Lepisosteus oculatus: one gene and its partners. The protein of the gene in region 3 interacts with the protein of the main gene of each other region in a pairwise test. Links are inferred from orthologs where the notes say so. Each region holds a gene or a part of one and is shown on either strand. Other genes may lie near its edges.

Evidence for each region. The genes of interacting proteins can lie anywhere in the genome.
Region 1: the proteins of apip (region 3) and nudt18 interact in binary tests that used the Homo sapiens proteins (3 or more experiments, as listed by UniProt). The two-hybrid records come from large-scale screens. The link is inferred for Lepisosteus oculatus from reciprocal best matches to the Homo sapiens genes APIP and NUDT18.
Region 2: the proteins of apip (region 3) and tnpo2b interact in binary tests that used the Homo sapiens proteins (3 or more experiments, as listed by UniProt). The two-hybrid records come from large-scale screens. The link is inferred for Lepisosteus oculatus from reciprocal best matches to the Homo sapiens genes APIP and TNPO2.

Annotation. Positions count from the first base shown.
Region 1 is NC_090697.1:68,281,173-68,288,612, forward strand, and holds the start of nudt18 (8-oxo-dGDP phosphatase NUDT18), read left to right. Parts: upstream 1-4,432; 5' UTR 4,433-4,476; intron 4,477-4,770; exon of another isoform or gene 4,771-4,863; intron 4,864-5,415; exon of another isoform or gene 5,416-5,472; 5' UTR 5,473-5,510; coding exon 5,511-5,669; intron 5,670-6,648; coding exon 6,649-6,862; intron 6,863-7,440. Other genes in the region: disintegrin and metalloproteinase domain-containing protein 9, read right to left, coding at 3,464-3,548. UniProt on the Homo sapiens protein: Mediates the hydrolysis of oxidized nucleoside diphosphate derivatives. Hydrolyzes 8-oxo-7,8-dihydroguanine (8-oxo-Gua)-containing deoxyribo- and ribonucleoside diphosphates to the monophosphates. Hydrolyzes 8-oxo-dGDP and 8-oxo-GDP with the same efficiencies.
Region 2 is NC_090706.1:13,311,085-13,318,012, forward strand, and holds the start of tnpo2b (transportin-2), read right to left. Parts: upstream 3,009-6,928; 5' UTR 2,776-3,008; intron 1,223-2,775; 5' UTR 1,222-1,222; coding exon 1,123-1,221; intron 1,008-1,122; coding exon 932-1,007; intron 796-931; coding exon 646-795; intron 1-645. Other genes in the region: il12rb2l (interleukin 12 receptor, beta 2a, like), read right to left, coding at 4,223-4,534, 4,736-4,838, 5,855-5,924, 6,505-6,648, 6,906-6,928. UniProt on the Homo sapiens protein: Probably functions in nuclear protein import as nuclear transport receptor. Serves as receptor for nuclear localization signals (NLS) in cargo substrates.
Region 3 is NC_090716.1:14,265,535-14,273,441, reverse strand, and holds the start of apip (methylthioribulose-1-phosphate dehydratase), read right to left. Parts: upstream 3,010-7,907; 5' UTR 2,775-3,009; coding exon 2,721-2,774; intron 2,226-2,720; coding exon 2,125-2,225; intron 1,196-2,124; coding exon 1,147-1,195; intron 1-1,146. Other genes in the region: pdhx (pyruvate dehydrogenase protein X component, mitochondrial), read left to right, coding at 4,307-4,442, 7,059-7,142. UniProt on the Homo sapiens protein: Catalyzes the dehydration of methylthioribulose-1-phosphate (MTRu-1-P) into 2,3-diketo-5-methylthiopentyl-1-phosphate (DK-MTP-1-P).

The sequences.
Region 1 (7,440 bases), on a different chromosome or scaffold from region 3:
ACGGGAAATTTGGCCAGGATGCCGGGGTTACACCCCTACTCTTTTCGAGAAACACCCTGGGATTTTTAATGACCACAGAGACTCAGGACCTCGGTTTTACATCTCATCCGAAGTCGCCTGTTTACAGTATAGTGTCCTCGTCACTATACTAGGGCATTAGGACCCACATGGACCGCAGGGTGAGCACCCCCTGCTGGTCCCACTAACACCTCTTCCAGCAGCAACCTTAGTTTTTCCCATGAGGACTCCCATCCAGGTACTGACCAGGCTCACACCTGCTGAGCTTCAGTGGGTTGCCAGTTGTGAGTTGCAGAGTGATATGGCTGCTGGCGAAACTAAAGGCTTAAATAAAACTTAGAGGTTTACGTTATCCAGAACAGCCCTGTACATAGTAGAGATGTAAATGAGGAAATAAAATACTGAATACCCAGAAATACTTCAGTATTAATGTTTTCTTATTGTGACAAACCTATCTTTCAGCACAAATACAGAAAAATATCCAAACCAAAGTTTCTGTAAATGGCCTTAGAAAATACAAAAAAAATGAAAACCCACAAGCTTCTAGAAATGTTAAGAAAAATCAAAAGGCTAGTCATTTATTTACAAAAGAACAATACAGTAGATATACGATGGCAGACAGCACTTTCCAGCACTCTTCTGGAACAGTGTTCAGGGCTTGGTCTGTCAAAACAAAAAACAGCCTGTGGCATTCAAAGGACATTTTCCATTATGGCCTGAAACAAAAGATGTTCTCTGAATCTTGTCATGGTCAATACAAAATACAGTAATGAAAGCAATACAGACAGCGTAGACTTTAAAAATCCATTATTGTATTTAAAATAAAACTATGCATTATAGTTTTTAAATACTTAGATGTGAGGGGGCTAGAGTATAACAATTACTAAACAGCAATCAAAGGATCTGAGATGATGTATTTGCTAAGGCTGTTTCCACTGTATAGGTGCTGTCAGAGTTGAGCCCAGTCCTCTCAGATTCCACACTATTCCTGATAATTTACACCTCAATGAAAAGGGATCCTGACTGGCAAGACACTTTTTTTAGGAAGAAAACAGTTCTGAAAGCACTGCATAATGGATCATGAAATATTTTTTATTTATAAAACACTTTTCCAATCCCAAGGATGCTGTACACAGTGATAGAGATCAGCAAAAGAAGAAAAAAACGGAACAAGAACATACAGGATCATCTGTAGGGCAATCAGACATAGGTCCTAATACAAAAGGTGAGTTTTAGGCTTAGATTTCAAAAGAGTCGAATAATTTGTCTCTTGAAGAGCCGGAGAAAGTGCAAATCATAACAACAGAGCAGCCTCTGCAAAGGCACAGTCACCAGAAGACCAAGATCCTGGCTACTGTGAGCAAAGGACCAGTCCCAACAGAACAGAGCCTATGGGAATGGAGCCTATTAAGAGCTTTAAATGTCACTACCAAGGACTTATACTGAACACTTCATTTTATAGGCAACCGATGTAGAAATTTAGGTGTAGGAGTGATATGCTATAGGGTCTGGTGTGAATTAGAATTCTAGTTGTAGAGTTTTGTACATATTTTGGAGTTTTGGAGCAAAGAGTTAGAGAAATCGAACCTTTTTATTAAAAAAAAACGGGAATTAAGTTCACAGCATCGGATATTAATAGAATTTGAGCAGATTCCTGACTGAATGGGGAAGCCATCCACCGTCGCTGTAAGGCTCTCCAGCTTTTCCCAGCTGACATTTGCTGCCCGTCAATATCATTTCCGTTGTATCACTACTTATCTTCCAAGGACTTTGACGTCAAGCAGAGTATGATGTTACGCAGACCAGCGATAACTGACGGAGGCGGCAGATCCCGAGGGAGAAGAGGTTTTAACGTAAATCTGAATATCTGCATAACAATGAAACTACGCTTATAATCCGAGCGAGGGGAAGCATCTCAATAATAAAAAGTAATGGGCCCCAAGACTAGCTTCTCTGATGGGAAAAAGTCATTCTGCTTCCAAACTGTGGAAAGAATTGTTTAATTCTTGAAAAACAAAACGACAAGCGGTATTGTAGAAAATGGGAGGTGTTTGGACAGCTCGTTATTGTGAAAGCACTTCAGATCGTAGAACCTATAAAACAGGCTTGACAACCCATTCAGCACCACTCAAGGTGTACAGTCCTACCTGAGTCTGAGCGGGAAAAAAATATCACACAACTGCAGCAAAAACAAATGTTGTCATGTTTTCAGTTAAACTACAACAATAAAGGACTTACTTTTCAATCATTTTCTAGAATTCCTCTGAACAGGATCTATTTGTCATTTAAACGATTCAATCCAGGCATGTTCAATAGCATTATCCAAGTATTAAATTACTTTCAAAAATCGACTGCCAGACGCCCTCCAAAAAAAAAAGATGAAACTGAAGAACTTATTTTTGGCAACAATAACAATCGTAATAGGCGGCCGTTTGAGATCGAGTAAAATTACAAATCTTCACAGCAAGCACAACAGATCGATGTGTTGCCTTTACGGTGAAAGACCTCCCAAAGCAGGACAACTGTTGTAGACCACAGAAAGTATTTGTCAAACCCGCTTCAATCAGACGATGCGTCTGTGGGACACCACCACAATCTGTTCCCGTTTAAAGCCAGTTACTGGAAACGCTTAAAACACACGATTAGACCGCCTGCCAAGACTGTACACCCAAGACCCTTTATAACTACAGTAGATGATACTTAAACGAACAACTCTTCGTAAATGTGTAAACTATGTGGCAGCGTGCAGGTTGACAAACACTGGATGTTTTCCCACCACGGCAACACTTCAAGAAGCCCAATTTAACACAACAACTACATGGATTATTTGAAACACAGGGAGACAAGGGGATTTTATCACTACTGTACATGCAATCGTTTTGGGTGTACACACCACCTCGCTTTAATCTATACCGGCCAACCTCTTTATTTCCATCTCAAAGCGACACTGCAAGGACAGCAGGATGATGTACGATGTGAACTGTGTTAGTTTTCTTGGCAGGTATTCACTAACCGTATAATCGAAAACTCCCTTCATCCGCTGCGTCGTTTTTTTTCCCAAAGGCTTCCCCAAGAACACCAGCCCCAATTCATTCACCTCGGTTACCTACAACATTCACCTTCAAACTGCCATTAACTTTTGAAGTGGACAATTAAATGGGCTGTATGGAGTATACAAATTATTCAGCAAAGAATATCATTACGGAACAGCTTTTAGAAACTCGCGTTTCTCAAAACGACCCGTGTAGAAACATAGCGAAGCACATGTTAGACGGTCACAAACGGTGGACCACAAAAGTTTCTCGGCAGGTTGTTGAACTGAAAAAAGGCTGCATTTGTAGGTTACGACGATGAGTATGGTACTCAAAGTGCCAGAGCAGCTTTGAGTAAAAATGTAGACTTAATTACTGAAGTCTGAATTCGTGAATAGATCGGCGTCACTTACTTTTACTACCGTAGGTGAACCCGTCTGAAAGCAAAATCCCCCAAAAAACGAAAGTAAAGCAGCTCTGGGGCAAAGTTTTACCCATCTTCGTTAAGAAATAAAGTCGGCGTAATCGCTTAACAACTCAATTCTTTTTCCTCTATCCAGGCGTTGCCTCCTAAGAAGTAGATGCCTTTTCCACATACTGTAGTAGACCACCTCCGACAACCTTTATCGAGCCATCTTTGTCTCTGTTTTTCTCTACCAAATTCCCAGATTATTTTATGAGCGGTTATTTTTCAAAGAAAAAAAACAACAACAAATGACTACCATGTGCTGGCAATAACGACTAGATATGCTGATTCACTGACTTCCCAGCGTTGTTTGTCCGGACAGCTCAGGTTGGGCTATCCATTGAGTTCGAGTGGAGTGGACTGCACGGAGCATGCGTCACTCTACAAACGGGCCCGTAGCTAAGGTTAACCCTTCTTCTTCCGCGCACACAGGCGTACGCCTGGCACACGTACCAGGCAGCAGCAGCTGTTGAAGAAGGACAATTTAGAAAGAGGATACAAAGAAAAAACGTCGCTGCAAGCCCGCACAGTGAAGAGTAACGATGATTGTACTTCGGCCAGCAGCTAGCTACAGTTGTCTGTTTTTCAAGGACGCGCTCCTTACTCTAAATATGCTGATGGAAGGGTTTATTTGTAAGGTCTGTGGAAGAGGTTTCACATTTAGGCGCATTCGTACAAATAATCTGCACGCATGAATAAATGCATATCCCTTCCTTCAGCTGTTTCTTCATTTTTGACTGTTTTCCATTTAAGACCGTGCTGAGAATAAGCTACAGAGCTCCAAATGCATCCAAAATAAGTAGTTATCGAAGTAAATAGTCCATTTATGGCTGAAGTCTGAGCTGTAAATTCGACTCGTCAACAAATGCAGTAAATAAAAATATTAACTATCCTGTCATTCGTAAATTAATTTACCAGGACCATCATCTTTTATTCTGGAGGAGTAGAACACTCGCAGCTGTAAGCAAAAGATAACTAATGGTTCAAATTGTATGCTACATTTAGGACTTGTCATTAGGATACATTGCCGGCCACACAAAAAAATACTTATTAAACATGTGAATGTTGAAGAAAAGCACTTTATAGATAGCCTATCTGTAGCAGTGAGACTACAGAAGAAAAAACGCAGTTCTGCAGGTACTGTATCTGTTTTGTGCAATCAAACCTTTTGTGCGCGTTTTGTTATGTGCGTTATAATGGTATCTTGGACTTTTTTTACTATCCCTTAGCTCGCAGCCAACGACAGTGGGTGGGCTGGACTTCCGCTGTTATTACTGTACAACATATACTGTACGTGCTAACGAAGAAAACAGCTAGCGTACCAGTAAAAGCAGAGCTGCGTTTTAGGTAAAACTGAATTGCATGTCCACTTTCCGGTTGTTGACAGATGTACGAAACACTTTTGCTGAGTTTGTTTTTGTATGTATGTCAGACGGAGATTTCTGGTTTGGTAAACAATACAGATTTGATTTCAATGACTCCTGGGCAGTAGCAGAAAAAACACGGTTGCTGCAGAGGCACTTGGGAGTCCAGTCCAAGGACGTTGCATTTAGCTCCTTACTAATCATAGTTTTTTTTTACAATTTTATGAGCCCTCCCAGTAATCTTTACGGTGGATACAGTTACCACAACATTGTACATCTGCATCCATCAGCATTTGTCAGGTGCTTTAGCTCTGTGTACTACGCAGCTATGAATTGAACCCAGGAACAATGCACCAGATCGCTGGTTTCCATGATGCAATAATAACTACCTTTTAAAAAAGGTGCATTGAAGCGCTAATCGATAGACGAGTTTCTTCTCGGTGAAACTAGTGACGATCACATGTTTCCACCAAGCGTTGCCCAAAACACAAATTATATATATTTAAGTTAACTTCCCTATATTATTTTCTTTAAGCCCGTTAAGGGATCTGCAAACCAAACTCAGTCGCCGAATTTCTTCGATTATAAACAGAAGGTTCGGGCCGGACCGGGACTTCGCTTTCCCCAGCAATGGGTTCGGCTCATCGGACAGTGGAAGACGAGTTGGAGAAGATTCTGAGCGGTGAAGGCTCGCCCGTGCAGCGGTTTGATTCCGCTCCGGACCTGCAGTCGGTAGCATTAAGAAAAACTACCTGCTACATCGTCTGCGGCGTCATCTTTAACGAAAAGGTAAACGCGGTAGACCGGAAGATAGCTTTTCAACGTTTTGGATTCATTTTTTGTTTCGGAGAGCAGAAACGTGCCATGCGGCATTAGAAACGTTATTTGTACCCGAGCCCAGCTAACCGACTGGACTTCCCAAACCAGAACTCTTCTGGATTTTAATTTAAAAAATAGAATAGTACAAAATACAGTACTTTCAATCTTTATACAATAGTGAAGGGTGAAGTGTTTATTCAATAGAAGCAGGTTTCTTATTTGAAGAGCTTTGAGATTCTTTGGGATTAAAACGCTGTACGAATGTAAACAAATGTCAACTGTAAGCTTCCATTTAGCCAATAGAAGGTAATTACCGCCGTCAACTCAGTGGTAAATTGTGTATTTCAGTCTGTGAAAGCACTTACTTAAATTGTCGTTTATTACTTTCAAGCCCGTGCTTTTTAAGAGTTGTGTATCACTCTCCTCAACAAGCAGTTATTTTATTTTAGTGCTAAGCTCCTGTCCTCTATGACCCTGTAGATTCATACTGCCATCTATTGGCTTTAAATACAAACGTTTTATGGTTTTCTGGTACCATTAGGTACAGCACACTGATTGAAGTCAATAAGTATTTTTTTTACATACATACTAAATACATATTAAAGTATAGAAATATTAACAGTGTCCTAAAGTGTTTTTACTTATTCTTTTACTTCCACTAGCCAAACTGCTCCGTATTTTAATATTAGAAACACAGCTGTATGTAGTTAAAATCCCACACAAGCTAGTGCCTACAACAAAGATTTAATGAGAAAAAGATCGTAGTAAGGATTAGTAAATGATTATCTTTAGTTGACGATATGAGTGAATATCCAGTGACTTGATTATCCTGTGCACTCTGTGTCTCCGAGCCCTGCGGCACCCATACCCTACATGCAAACGAGCGCGTTGAGGGATGCCTCCGGCCTCATGGTGTGTCTTGTGTGTCTGCTGGCCTCCTGCCTCACAGAACGAAGTGCTGATGATGCAGGAGGCGAAACCCGAGTGCCACGGGCAGTGGTACCTCCCCGCCGGCAGGATGGAGGAGAACGAGAGCATTGTGGAGGGGATGAGAAGGGAGGTGAGGGAGGAGACGGGCCTGGAGTGCGACCCGGTCACCCTGCTCCTGGTGCAGGAGAACGGCCCGCGCTGGATCCGATTCACTTTTCTGGCCCGAGCGACAGGTTGTGCAGAATTTATTACTGGCTTTTAGAGCTTGGTGCAGGGCAACGTGTTTTAGAACGACACTGGTGACCGGATGGAAGAATCGAGTTTGTGAGGCACTGACATACAAGGGGGAGGCGCAGAGGTTAACATTGCTGCCTTGCAGCGCTGGGAACCCTGGGCTCAGTTACTGGGATTCTCTCGGTGTTCACGTGCATTGTCTCTGGGTGCTCTGTTTTCCACCCACAGTCCAAAGACATACAGTACGTGTAGGTGAATTGGCTGCTGAGGAAACATGACCCAGGCGTGAGTGTGTGCTTGTTTGTGTTTGAGTGGGCCCAGTGATGAACTGGCATCTGCATCCTGCCATGTGCCTGCTGCTTGCCAGTATAGACTCTGTCTCCCCCGCCACCCTGAATTGAAAGAAACGATTAGAAAATGGATGAATGCAAAATTCAAGGTGGAGCCTGCCTTCTAAGTGGAGATGATGGAATTAAGAGATGAAATCAAAAGGATTTGATGCATCAATTCTATTACAATAGATTATAATCCAGAGATCTCTCAGACCAGTGTGCTCAACCAGTTGTTAGGAGTTGGT
Region 2 (6,928 bases), on a different chromosome or scaffold from region 3:
TTGGATCATTACATCACTAGAAACACATCAGGCATAATGGGCTGTACATCCCTGACCTCTCCGATCCTAACTGCTCCTTGCACTGCTCTGCTAAAAGCTATTTGTAACACTACATACGGATTCACACAGGAGGAGTGAGAGTGAAGTCAGGAGAGAAGAGAGCCCATCTAGCCCGTTCAGTACTTAGTAACCAAGCGATGAGCCCGACTCCCACAATCCTGTTTAAAGAAGTGATTACAAATCCATTTCCATTCCGTTTGCACTGTAGTTGCCCCACCCCAAGCTGTGAAGACATCCGCTAGACTGATTCTGTCAGTGTCTCTTTGAGGCTTTGGAAATCTAGACCATAGCCTGCTCCTCCAGAGTAACAAGGTTCAGCTCTTTGGATTTGAACACATGTGATACATCTCTATTTAAACTTTTAACTTGTACTTACATGCTAGAATATTTCTCAGCTCTCTAAGCGCTTCCACATCATTGTCAAAGAACTATTCCGTGATCAGTAATCCTACCACTGTTTTCACCTCCTTTGCAATAGAGTGTCCCAAGTGCCCTGCCAGTAAGAACTGCAGGACAGCAGAGCGAAAGGGACTTTTACCCCAGTCCTAGCCCCCGCCCCCTCTTCCCGTCACCCCCAAGTCTCACCGATGGTGGCCCGGATCAGGGGGGAGGGGTCCCCGATGTTGTTCAGGCACTCCTGCTTGATGAAGTCGGCCACGGTGGGGGGGAAGTTCTGGTAGTGGGCCTTCACGTTGTTCTTCAGGATCAGCCCACTCAGGGAGCGAGTGGGCTCGTCTGGAGGTGGGGGGGGGGAGAAGACAGCAGGTGAGCCAGGACAGGAGACGGTGAAGCCAGCGACTGCAGAACCTCGGGCCCATCACCCCTGGAGAGGAAGACGGAGCTGGGGCTCCCCAGACTTGTGCACACTCACCTTCCGTCTTCAGCCGCGTGAGCACGAAGATCAGGTAGTTGTTGAAGTCGGGAAACTGGTTCAGCTGCTCCAGTTTCTTAGCGCAGCAGTTAAGGACAACAGGGCAGCACACAGTACCGTGGACCCAGACCCACCACACAGACCCCCACCTCCCACCCCACCGCCCCAGCCCCGCGGCCAGTAAAGGATGCCTGCTGGACGGCCCTCTGAGTGGCCGTGTTGGGAGACTGGGAGTCCTTCAGGAGCTGGAGGACCTGCTGGAGCCCCTGTTCGTCAGGCTGCCACTCCATCCTGCGCACACACAGAAAAAGGCACCGTGAGAAAGCAAGCCAGGACAGCAGTGCGGAGCAGCACTGGGGGGCGCCGGGCCCGTGCCGGCAGAGCTGCGGGCTCACACACAGCCACTGCCTGTGGAGAGCCACGTCGTGTGAGGTGTGAAGGCACTGCGGTCACAAATGTATCCCTGACTCTGTAGCCAGACCCTGAGCCCACCGTGGCTGTGGCAGAAGCTCCACTGTCCTCCTAGCAGTACGAGCTTTCTTTGAATAAAGCTGTTCTCCACAGCTTTTACTGTAACACAACAGTAATCTGTGTAAAAAGACTGTTCTATTGCACTGGGACTATAGCTCCTATTGTAACAGGACTGTTCTACTGCACTGGGACTGTAGCTCCTATTGTAACAGGACTGTTCTATTGCACTGGGACTGTAGCTCCTATTGTAACAGGACTGTTCTATTGCACTGGGACTGTAGCCCCTATTGTAACGGGTCTGTCCTACTGCACTGGGACTGTAGCCCCTATTGTAACGGGTCTGTCCTACTGCACTGGGACTGTAGCCCCTATTGTAACGGGACAGTTCTACTGCACTGGGACTGTAGCCCCTATTGTAACAGGACTGTTCTACTGCACTGGGACTGTAGCCCCTATTGTAACAGGACTGTTCTACTGCACTGGGACTGTAGCCCCTATTGTAACGGGACTGTTCTACTGCACTGGGACTGTATCTCCTATTGTAACAGGACTGTTCTACTGCACTGGGACTGTAGCTCCTACTGTGAGAAAACTAATCCCTTGTTGTAACATTACAGTTGATTGAAATCTAGACAGTTATCGCCAGACAGCAGTTCTACATACTGCCCGGAAAACTGCATTACCGGCCCACTTCCCTGCACAGCCACAGGTATCCGCGCGGAGAACGGTACGGGACCTACCGCCTCTCAATCCTCCGGCCACAGGGCTATACTTTATAATCGGATTGGGGACGAAAAGAGACCAACAGATCAGGATATAAATCTCAGCCTGACCCGGTTTAACCGCCATAATCCCATGGTCCCTCTAACCCACGCGATCGTCATTATCATCGCTCGTCTGGACAGCGGGCAAGCCGCTGCCTTCCCCACCACACTAAACAATCACCTACACCGCCCCTCACCCCTGAAGCAGCCCATTCCTGCAACACCTCTTAAACATGGTCTCTGTCCCCAACCAGAGGAGATCTGTAGCCCTCCAATCCCACCAGTTTCCTACAGCCAGGATGGGTATCCGCACCGCCGGTGTGGAAATCACGACAGCCCCAGGCTTCTGCGCGGATCTAGGCCGCAGCGGCCTCGTTTCGGGTTTCCGCCGCAAGCGCCTATCGGCTGAAACCCGGCTGCCTTCTGTGCGGAGACACACGCCTGGAAAGGGTACTCGAGCTTACAAAATACAACACTTGGGCGAATAATGAGGCGCAACTTTTAAATTTTCCCAGGTCGGAGACCCGCCGTTCCCTTTTCACGCGAAATCCCTCTGCGTGCTTCCAGACACGGGTTACAAATCGGCAAAAACAACGCCAGAACTCTCACCTGGAGATCTCGCCGAGTAGTGTAGTATGTAAATCTGGATCGTCACGGCGCGGCCCTAAATAATTACTGATTAGCTTAGCTTTATTAACAGTATTCAATTACTGCTATCGCGGCCGTGATGCAAAACCCCTCTGCCTTCTTCTGCTATTGCTGCTGCGGCTCGCTCTCGCGCTGGAGGGAGTGGGAAGCAAAGCAGCGCGCGCTCGACCCCAATAATTCTGCCTGAGCCCCTCCGGCTTCCGTCCACCGCTCTTTCCGGTCTCCCAGCCAATCGTGGAGTGCAGATTTCGTCACGTGCCCGGAAAGGCGGCATTTAGCCGTCTGCGGCAGCTGCGGCGGTTTCCCTCAATGGTGGCCGGGTTAGGGTCGGAGAAATGAAACTGCCTTCTCTCTCCAAAGCCCTTGTGTGAATCTAGCCGCCATGTTGGCTCCGACGTTCTTCACGCTTTTGTAGTGATTAAGATGTCTTCGGTTTGAAAATGGGAGTCTTTCATCTCACCTTTTATTTTTCTCCTGCCGCAGGGTATCCGGCGTCAGCCGCCGTCAGGCTGATGTATAAAAAGTGAAATATACATGGCGGGCGATCACAACTTTGTGTACTGCCTAAGGTGCTACGGCAGCAGTGCAACACGTGTCACAGACCCGCGATATGTTTCCACGCGTGAGACAGGCTGCTGGAGCTCAAGTTCCCTTACAAGCACGTCTAAACGCCCCGTGCTGAGTACGAGCTGCATTCTGGCAGTGCAGATGTTTAAGCAACTGTTTTTATTTCACCTAAAACACAGAAAACGTAAAAAAAAAAATCACACCAGAAAAACGAGAAAATCTCTATCCACAATCTTTCTTTATATACAAACCGGCACTGAGAATGGTATAATCTAGAGGGAAAGCGCATGTGCAACTTTGTTGCTCTCTGTTCCTCCCGCCACATAACTTCACATCCCCAGAGGTGTACGGACAGGCCCCAAGCACAGCCAGTTCACAGACATTTACATCCTCCACGGAACAGGCTCTGTGTCCCCTCAGGCCCAGGGGAATAACTGCCTCAGCACGCCTGGTCCCCCGGGGAGAGAGCCCCCTGCTGGCCGTCCGGTGCAGAAACACCTTTAACCAGCGGGAGCTCTGAGCTCAGAGCTCTGACCCGGAGCCGGAGTACAGCAGGTCAGCCAGACTGATGGTTCTGGTCATTCACGCCGATCCCGAGACTCCGAGACCCAGAGGAGACGCCCAGAGCAGATCCCATCCCTTCGATCCGCCCTCCCAGTATCCCATCCGGGCTGCTTCCCATGGGATCAATATCAGTCAGTCAGTTTCCACAGGGTAGCTGGGCAGCTCTTTCCAACACGCCCTCGTGAACAGAGACAGAGTCCCAAGGGGCAATTTGTATGAGAGCCTCCTGCGTACTGCCCCACACACGTCAAGTGGAGAGCCTTCTGCATACTGCCCCCTACAGGTCGAGCGGAGAAGGCATGAAGTGCTTCTCGTAATCGGAGAAGAAGGGCTGGGTATCAGTGGGGGAGCAGGGCAGACCTGATATCACTTCTTCGTTGATCATTTCACTGTACCCCCCCTCCCTGCCCTGCTCCTTCTCCCCCTTCTCTCTCCAGATCTCGGCCCCCTGTCCCCCTCCCTCCTCTGCGCTCTCCGTGCTGGCGATGGTCTCTCCGGGATCAGGAGCGAGAGGAATTTCCACAACCTCCAGCTGGCAGAGCATGGAGTCCAGCAGAAAGACTGCAGGGCACACGGCCTCCTTGGTCTCCTGTACCGGAGACAGACAGGGAGACAGTGAGACACACAGACCCAGACACACACGTGGACAGACGGACGGACAGAGACCCCAGGGAGACACATGGACAGACAGGCAGGGAGACGGTGGGGCACACAGACCCAGACAGACATGTGGACAGGGAGACAGTGGGACACACAGACCCCAGACAGACACGCGGACAGTGAGACAGACCTGCAGCTGTGGCATCTTGAGGATCAGGTACAGGCGGCTGTTCTGCGGGTCAGGTACCTTCTCACAGCACCACGACGGCACCAACTGGTTTCTGCAGGAGCACCTGTAGTCACACGAACAAGAACTGTCACTGACAGTGTGATACAGCACAGCCACAGAGAGATACAGCACAGTCACAGACCAGTACAGTGACAGAGAGATACAGCACAGTCACAGAGAGATACAGCACAGCCACAAACCAGTACAGTGACAGAGAGATACAGCACAGTCACAGAGAGATACAGCACAGTCACAGACCAGTACAGTGACAGAGAGATACAGCACAGCAACAGAGAGATACAGCACAGTCACAGAGAGACACAGCACAGCCACAGACCAGTACAGTGACAGAGAGATACAGCACAGCGACAGAGAGATACAGCACAGTCACAGAGAGATACACAGTACAGTGTACAGTGACAGAGAGATACAGCACAGCCACATAGAGATACAGCACAGCCACAGACCAGTACAGTGACAGAGAGATACAGCACAGTCACAGAGAGATACAGCACAGCCACAAACCAGTACAGTGACAGAGAGATACAGCACAGTCACAGAGAGATACAGCACAGTCACAGACCAGTACAGTGACAGAGAGATACAGCACAGCGACAGAGAGATACAGCACAGTCACAGAGAGACACAGCACAGCCACAGACCAGTACAGTGACAGAGAGATACAGCACAGCGACAGAGAGATACAGCACAGTCACAGAGAGATACACAGTACAGTGTACAGTGACAGAGAGATACAGCACAGCCACATAGAGATACAGCACAGCCACAGACCAGTACAGTGACAGAGAGATACAGCACAGCGACAGAGAGATACAGCACAGTCACAGAGAGATACACAGTACAGTGTACAGTGACAGAGAGATACAGCACAGCCACATAGAGATACAGCACAGCCACAGACCAGTACAGTGACAGAGAGATACAGCACAGTCAGAGAGAGATACAGCACAGCCACAGATATAGTACAGTCACAGAGAGTCACAGCACAGTCACAGAGTAGCATAACAATAACTGACAGTTTTCTTAAATAAAATCAAATAAACTTCTCTTGCTCTTTACTTGAAGCAGAATGCTGTCACCAGCACTACTGGCAGTCCCAGAATGCACAGTACCAGGATGACAGGGAGATCTGGAGCAGAGGAGCAGAAGTCATTCACACACTGAACCATGGCCCCAAACCCACAGACAGCGAGATCACCCTCCTGAAGACACCAAGGAAGTACAAGACAAGAGAGAGGAAGAGGAAGGGGGATGAGGGGAGAGGAAGAGGAAGGGGGATGAGGGGGGAGTGGAAAAGGAAGAGGAAGGGGGATGAGGGGAGAGAAGAAGAGGAAGAAAGATGAGGGGGGAGAAAGAGGAAGAGGAAGGGGGATGAGGGGGGAGAGATAGGAAGAGGAAGGGGGATGAGGGGGGAGAGAGAGGAAGAGGAAGGGAGATGAGGGGGGAGAAAGAGGAAGAGGAAGGGGGATGAGGGGGGAGAGAGAGGAAGAGGAAGGAAGAGGAAGGGAGATGAGGGGGGAGAGGAAAGAAGAGAAATGAGGGGGGAGAGAAAGGAAGAGGAAGGGGGATGAGGGGAGAGAGGAAGAGGAAGGGGGATGAGACAGGAAGAGGAAGAGGAAGGGAGATGAGAGGCCAGGTCAGGTCCAGAACAAGAGGAAGACAGGCTGAGGAGGAAGAGGAAGTGGGCGCAGCGGGCAGTGGTACAGTACCTGTTTTGTCTTTGGTGGTGAAGTCCACAATGCTCTTTGGCCCCTCTCCAGCTCCAGTTTCAGCCCGGACCCAGAACTGGTACCTCTGGCCCGGCTTCAGGTCCTGCAGCTCCTGGCTGCAGTTCTCCGGACCCACAGTGTAATCTGGGGGGGCGACAGAGTTACAGGAGGGTCAGAGCACCGCGGGTCTTTTTGCTGATCAAACTGGACAGACCGGACCGTGTTCTGAAGAGGTTCTGTGACTGTGCAGTGTGTCCTGTGTCTTGACCCCCACCCCCACCGGAACCATGTGTCAGAAAAAACACACCCCAGATCTCCTTCAGCTTCCCACAGTCTCCCCCAGCTCCGAGCCCTCATTTACAGCACCCTGTGCTTCCCCGTCTGTCCCCCAGGGGGCGCACCTGTCACATTATCATGCCCCACC
Region 3 (7,907 bases):
AACATATCACTGAGCGGCTGATGTCGGCTGGCCAATAGCCCCTCGCACTCCTTGAGCTGCCTTAGGAGCATGGATTCTTCTTTTGGGTGGCTTCAAGGTGTGGCCCCCAATGCCTGCAGAGGCCATACTGCCAATATTTCTTAAATTAATCAGATTTAATTGCTAACATAATTAAGATAAATACAGCTTAATTACAGAATGACGTGGGGAATAACCTGCTGCCTTTTATCACCTTACTAGTAGAAGGAAGACAATTTGCCAAGTGATGACCTAAAACAAGGAAGTAAAGGCTTTCAACGCCTGAGAGCAGAATCTACACATGACAAGTAGGACAATGATTAATAAAGTATATAGACATATGATGGTGCTAGTAAACAGTACTTCTGCCAAACTTTGTGCTCAGCGACAAACTTGAGAAGAGCTTTGTTAGGGCTCTAAAGCAGTTAGGTTTTGTTTTGTATTTTGACAATTTACTGCTATTTTCCTTTCTAATTAAAGACACTAATTCTAATTCAGCTTGTGTGTCACGCATGAAAGAGCTGTAAAAGAAGATAACTGAGTGAATTAGTTATCATGGGTTGTAACACACAGACGTTTTTTTTTTGTCCTGGGTAGCTGACACTAAAGTTTATGTTCTGGAAATGGGTGGAAGATACATTAACACTTAATTTGTGGTGGAAGGAAGTTTGCAAAGTGATGCAGAAAGTGCAGTAGTTGATTGCTAGCACTCTAGAGATTAGGAGATCTTAGCATTAATCTACTGCTTCCATGCTTGGAGAAAGACAGCATAGAAGATACAGCATTCTGCTATCCAACACACTTTCTCCTTAATACACCACAAATATGTCCTTATTTTACTTTTTAGTTTAGAAATAACCTTTAACTTTTAATTTGAAGCTCACATGCCAACACAGCTCCGTACTCTGAACAATCTGGGTATTTTATTGGTAAAATTGTTTTTTTTGTATTTAAAATTGTACTAGGATATATCTGACTTATATGAAAGCTAAAAAAATATTATCCGACTAGATACCTGAGATAAGATACATTAACCAGACACCTAATGTCAAGGGGAGAAAAAAGGCATTAAACTCAAAAGGTATTCAGTTACAGGTCCCAGGCAGTTCCTCAGAGATCTTTACTGACCTGAATCCTTTCCTTCTGCACTCCTGAGGGGGCAATGTAGATGTGATCTCTGAAGGGGTAGGCCAGAGAGATACAGTCAGAACACAATCTCATTAAGCATTTGCTTCTAAGTGAAGTAACAAGAACTACTTGCTTTATTTTAACTGAACAAGACAGTTACTGCCTTTATCCAATGAGAAGTTACACCTGTCTTCTCCACAATAAAGAATGTAATCTATATCACCTGGACACTCTTTTTTTAATCTAACACATGAACATGACAAAGGACTGTCTTCACCTCAAAAAAAAAACATACCAGTATAAATCAGACACATTTTAAAGTAACTTACAGGAGGGATTTTATCTTGATGAAATATCCCTGTTACACACATTCACACCTGAAGAAGGCTCCACGGCCAAAACGTGTTTTTTTTTCTTTTCTTTTCAACATGGAATAAACCTATTACTTGTTCCTATAACACTGTTATCCTGTTTACCTCTTGACAACCTCTTTATACATTTGTGATATAGATGCATTGTAGTGCACATGCTTCTACTGCTTCAGCCTCAGTAGATTTAGCACACTGTTGACTTACTATTTAGGCTCACAGCTGAGAGAGTAGACGGTAGTCTCCTGTAAGAGGGCAGTGACTCCAGACAAAATGGAGATTCGGTTTGCAAGGACAAGTGGTCAGGTGAGAATTTAAAAGGGCTGAGGCTTGACAGGGTCAGCCTCTGGCTTCCTTTCCTCACGCCTAGCGCAGCACGCACAGTGGAGGATCTGCGCTCTGTCCCCAGATGGCAAGGCGAGTTACACCTTGAAGACATTTTGTCTGGGGTCACCGGCCTCTCACACCTTCCCAAACCTGAATGGGCACAACTGAATGAAGATTGTCTTCACTTCATACTCTTTCTATGAAATGGCATTTGTTCTCTGAATTGGTGCTGCACACTGGATGACCACACCAGATTTCTAAGCTTCAGGCTTGGCATACTCACCCCTGCCTGAGACTGATACCCCCTCCTGTTCCTGTCACCCAGCCTAACTGGTAGAAGAGTTTGCAGAGCTCAGGAATCAGCAACCTTGGGTTGTCCTTGTCCTGGAATGGAAAATATTCACTAAAACAAACGGCAATCTCATTCTGTCTCAAGCAAATTCCATTACTGTCCAGTCAGTTCAAGGAGTAGGGCACTAGGGAGTATTCTTGACCACCATCCGGTGCAGAGCAGCTCAACATCTGTGCTGTTTTTGTTGCAATATACTGCTCATTTCTTAATTGTGCAAGGCCACAACTCGCAAATAAAATACATGTCGAAGGTATCTGTCACGTGAGTGATTATTTAATTGTGGAACGTCATAATAATTCAGCGGCAATACCACAGAATAAACGCTAAAAGGGACAATTAGCACATTGCATTATGTGCGTCTGTTGCTTGAAAGTTTCTAAAAGCAGGCTGACCACATGGCAGCGTAAACGACGTTTATATCATCGACATTCGCGTTGTCCGGATTTAAAGGGGGGGAAAACTTCAATATTGTTACGTAACGTAAACACATTTTATATTTCTGAGAAAGCAACTTTGGATAAACTTACCTCAATAGATTGGGCACATTTAGAGCAGTCGCGATTATAGACCGCTGAAGACATTTTTAGCAATACTCTTCGGCAAATAAAAATTAATGCCTAAATTAAGGCCTAAACTTGCTTTCGTTCCTTGACCGTGTACTTGGTCACAAGAACGCCTTAAAGAACAGGACGATGAAAACGAAAACCGCTCGCCACCCACCCCTCACGTTTTTGAGGCACAGAAAGTCTAAACAGTACAGCCACTATGTTGGTTTTCGATGGCTGCTGCTCCCTGCTGCTCCCTGCTGCATAAGTCTGCGCAGCGTCTGCACAGATCTGCACAGGTCCGCTTCATGTGACGTCGTATGTGACGTCACTGCGCAGCCCCGGTCAGTAAACTCGGTAACTCTGGAAGACAAGATGCGCATGTTGCTGGTATCATCGTGAGGCACAGCTTGCTGGATCATCTGCAGCTCTGAAAATCTGAATATTATCCAGCCCACAAGTACCAGAATTAAACTAACTGAACATTTCTTTTTGTTTAATTGAGAAACAAATGAGTGTTCCTAAGATGCTAATGATTTAACCTATAAAGGCTATAGGAACTGGGGTTCTGTGTACCAGAGAGGTAAACTGACACCAGAGATATACTGACACTGCACTTGTAATTACTGTCAGAAGTGTTAAATTACCTTAGGTGTGCCTCCAGTCTGTTGTTCTTCCCCCCTCACAATGTATTTTTGTGAAACAAAGGTTGTCAAAATACAGCAGAGAAGCAGGCACAACATTGCAGGAACTCCTCCTGCTACAAACCCTTCTCATCCAACACAATAAGAGATGGAGCAGGTGACCACCTATTCAGCAAAAGATGAGGTAAGCAGGATGTGGATGTGAAAAGGTATCATCCCAACCTGCTTTATTTACTCTACATTGTGAAATCCACATGTTACAGTGTGACATGCCGCATTCCTGTGTCCAGGGGACACATTTTCACAAGAAAACCCCTGGCTTGAGGTGGAGATTACATCAACTACAACTCAAGGGCAAAATGAACACAGGTGCACAACTCTGGTCCTCACAAGAAGAATCCAGCAAGGGTTAATATCCTACTTCCTCCTACTTTTTTTAGTAGCTTGGGTGTTTGGGTACCAACTGATAATGTTTTAAGGAGGGAGCTGTATAACACACCTACACTGAATTAAACTGGAAGGGCTGGGCTTTGCCTGCGCATATGCAACAGTGCGGAGTTTGCAGACTTTTCTGGCTTAGCAGTCGAAATTTGCATGCAGCTCTGCTCTTGCCTGCCCGACCGCCGAGTGCAGTGAGATCTGCGCAGATCTGCAGGCTTTGCGTATAAAGGAAGCGACAAGAAGCGCGAAGGACCTCTTCTCATGGATGGGGTCCTTCTATCACAATTGTCGTTTGTTTTTGTAGTTAGTTATCCTGCCTAAATTTAAATTGTTTTATTTAAAATAAGTGGGAAAATGTCATATTTTCGTTAAACAGCACTAACGTGAAACATGCAGTAAAAAACGTATCCATTCATTTCTGCACTCAGAAACGCAAAACTTTGAAAGGCAGTAGGGTAACTGGTAATTTCCGAGGACACAAATATGGCGGCCTCCTTGCGGATGGGACATCGGGGGATATTGAGTGGTTTGAGGTTAATAAAACTGAAGAAATGCACCGGTTTAACCCAAACTCAGGATGGATATTATCGGCACTTTTTTCAGTCCTCACCAATGTTTGGTAAGTGTTGGCGTGTCACATGATAAAAACCAAAACGCACATCGCTGGCTGGGTTATAATGGAAGGTTGTGTGCTACTTGTACTGCTGTATTTTATTTTTACGCTGTTTTAAAGTTTTTAAAGCGTTAAGACTAGCACGCACGGTTCCCCTTCTAAATTGTAGTACACGTACAAGCCAGAAATAGACAACAGACGGGGACATTTAACGTTGATCATCTCAAGTTACTGTACACATTAGGAGTTTAGATTTTAATTCATAAACATAACATTGCAGTTCTTTATATAGTGCATTAGATCAAGCAATAGGTTTATTCCTGCTGAAAAGAGAAGAATGGGAACACAACGTTTCGGGTGTTGAGCCTTCTTCCGGTGGCACACCCTTCCTCCACCGTCCACACCCGAAGAAGGCTCCATAGCCGAAACGTTGTGTTCTCAGGAATAAACCTTTTCTTGTTCCTTTGCAGCCTACGCATGCTAACGCAGCTATACAGCTGGACTACTTCACAATATGCATTTTATGTGTATTATGTTATATCTTGTTGTTGATTTATGTTGGAATAGGCTGGGGGTAATCAGCATGTTTGCTGTAGCATTAGTTAACGGCAACCTCACCACCTTGTTGCTGATCCCTGCATGTTTCTATTACATAAACTTTGTAAAATTGAGTATATGAACAAAACTATATTAAACTGCATAGTCCACTCAACACTATTTCTACCTTTCATTATGTTATGGTGCTGCTTGTCTAAAGGAGAAAAAAAAGTCTTCTGTCTGCTAAAGGGAGACAAAGGCAATATGAAGGTTATGTGATAGAATAGTAGCCAACCTAAAACTGGGATGAAAACTCGCTTTTCATCAGAGCAGTGACCCACAAAATGAGTCCAAAGCTACATTCAAGTGGAACAACAGAAAGTGAGTGCTATTGAGTGTTCTAGTCATGATTCTGACTTCCATCCAATGGAAAGCCAAGACTTTGAAAATCGGCCATCAATAATAAGTGTCGGTGAGAACAGTCAGCTGCAGTATACATCCTGTTATTTTATTCATTATATCTTTCCAGGTAGTGAGAAGATGAAAGAGTAATCCTTACCAAGTGATTATGAACTCCTATCATTTTTCATACATGATTTGTGTCATATTGTTACTACTTTGTGATTAGTCTTTAAATTCTGCAGGAAAAAAAAGAGAACATTCAAGGCATGCTTGTCTGCCCCCTTAGAGCATAGCAGTCCTTTGTATGATGTTCTGCTTCAGGCCCTGCATCACACAGCGTCGATTAGTACAACTGGGGTTGGCTGTCCCTTTCTTGTTACTGCTTTGGTTACTGTTCCTTTGCATGGCCTTCATGTTGCCTTCATCAGTGCTACATGTTTTAATTTTGCATGGCTATCTCTCTAATGCAGTTTGTTTTCTCCTTATAACCATGCATTATACCGGTCTAACTTGCTAGATCTAAAGCATCATGTACTATTAGGATATGGTGTCATTGACGATTTAGTCTTTAGTAGGTTTTAAAAGGTATCGTAGAACTCATTAACAAAAAGCAATCAGAACAACTGGGTGGAAAGCATTTTAAAAGAAGTGCTAATTCGATCATTGCAATAGTAATGAACAATAATTCCATTTTGTTGTGATTCTTCAAAGGGGCTGCAGGGGGCAGCAAAGTCTCTTTGCAATTGTTTTTTAATCACGGTTTACTTTTTGTACTGAGCCTCCTCAAGAAGTAAAGTTGGCTCTGACCCTTCATCTAGATACCCTGAGTGTTCTTAGACCATTCCAGTCTATCGTCTATTTTGTTTTTCTTGAAGTAGTTTGGGACCTCAGCTACTTGGTTGGGAGAGCAGAAATCCACAACTCTTTTTGTCAAGAAGGATTCTGTTATTTTTGTAGTCTACCTTAAATTAATTCCCTGCTACTTTCCAGTTGTGATCCTGTATTCATTTTTGGTGAAGTAGTCCCCTGGGTTAACTATGTTTGCTGTATATTGTACCCATTACAGTTTTATACACATGTAATACATCTCCTCTTGCTCTGTTGTGTTAAAAGCAAAGACATGCTGCTCTTTTAATCTGTCTGGATAAACCAGTACCTCTTGAGGTAAGGACTCTTGTTTGTCTTGGTTGTCTGAACTCTTTCCATGGCTGTGATATCCTTTTTGTGGAATAGTGTGCAAAACTAAGCACAATATTCAAACTCATGTGTTACAAATGCTTTACAAACCTTAACCATAATCTTCTTTTAAATTAAATGCTTTATACTTTGTGGTTTGGGGTCATCAAAAAATCTGCAGGAACATCCCTTCATGTGTGGTTTCCCACTTTAGAATCATCCAGTCAACTTTTTGTACAGTGCTCTCTTTCTTTTTTCTTTTTTTTTTGTCCAGTACCATTAAGGCTGTTTTTTCTAGACCTGGACTTTTTGCTCCAGGATTTTTTTTTAACCTTAAACATTACATTTGTTTGGGTCACATAAATTGGGTTATACATAGTCCCGTAAAGTTTTTGTACGATTCATAAAGTGTGAGAATTAATTTATTTATTGGTAACCCTCCTCCTCCACCCATCTCTGTGGCTGCTGCTGCTTGTAAGAGTCGGTGTGTTTCCTTCTGTCCTTCAGGAGTGGCCCCAGTCAAAGTGATGATGCCAGCTCTTTCCCCCACCATGGAGGAGGGCAACATCGTCAAGTGGCTGAAGAGGGAAGGTGAGAGAGGTCCTGTCTGCTGCAGCTGTGTCATAACAAAAGGAAATAAAGGAGTGCTTCTGCTGCAAAACGATACGTTTGGAGTGTTTTGTCCTACAACACAGTCCACCTGTGGTCTTCCTTCTTTATTTCACAAGTTCATCCTGCTGGCGGTTGAGCTTATTAAACATGTGGAGTGATATTCGAAAAAAAGAAAAACACACAGAAAGGATTCTATAAACCCCTATGTTCATCCATCTGTGGGGAGCTGGACTATGGCAGTGTTATGATGTTATGGCCCGATGCGGTCCATCAATAATAGGCTGTGATCTGGGAGACCACGAAGTCGTAGTACCTTGTCAGGATTGGTGGGGAGGCCCATGTGGAAAGGTCTGGTACCGTTTAGTTGTTGGAGCTCCACTTGTAGCACTGTACAGTCAGATTGGGCCCTCACTCTCCCGGGTGAAGGATGTGGTCTCATACTGACATGACAGCATTCCAGTAGGATAACTCGCATGTGTGCATCTGCTGCTTCTTGACAGTGGCTTTCTTGCGAGAAGAGAATTTTGTAAGAATGCTGTGGCTGCCTGAATGTGCAGACTGGAGCCCTGTTAAACATTTGAAAGATGAGCTGTGAAGATTATCTAGCAGCTAGCATAGAGACTAGTGAAGAGGCATTATGAGAGAGAAATAGGACGGGTTAGACTGAATCTGTACCCTGATGCATGACATGCGTCATGGATGTATAGATTGTATTGCTTCTAATGGTGGCCAGACATGGTACCA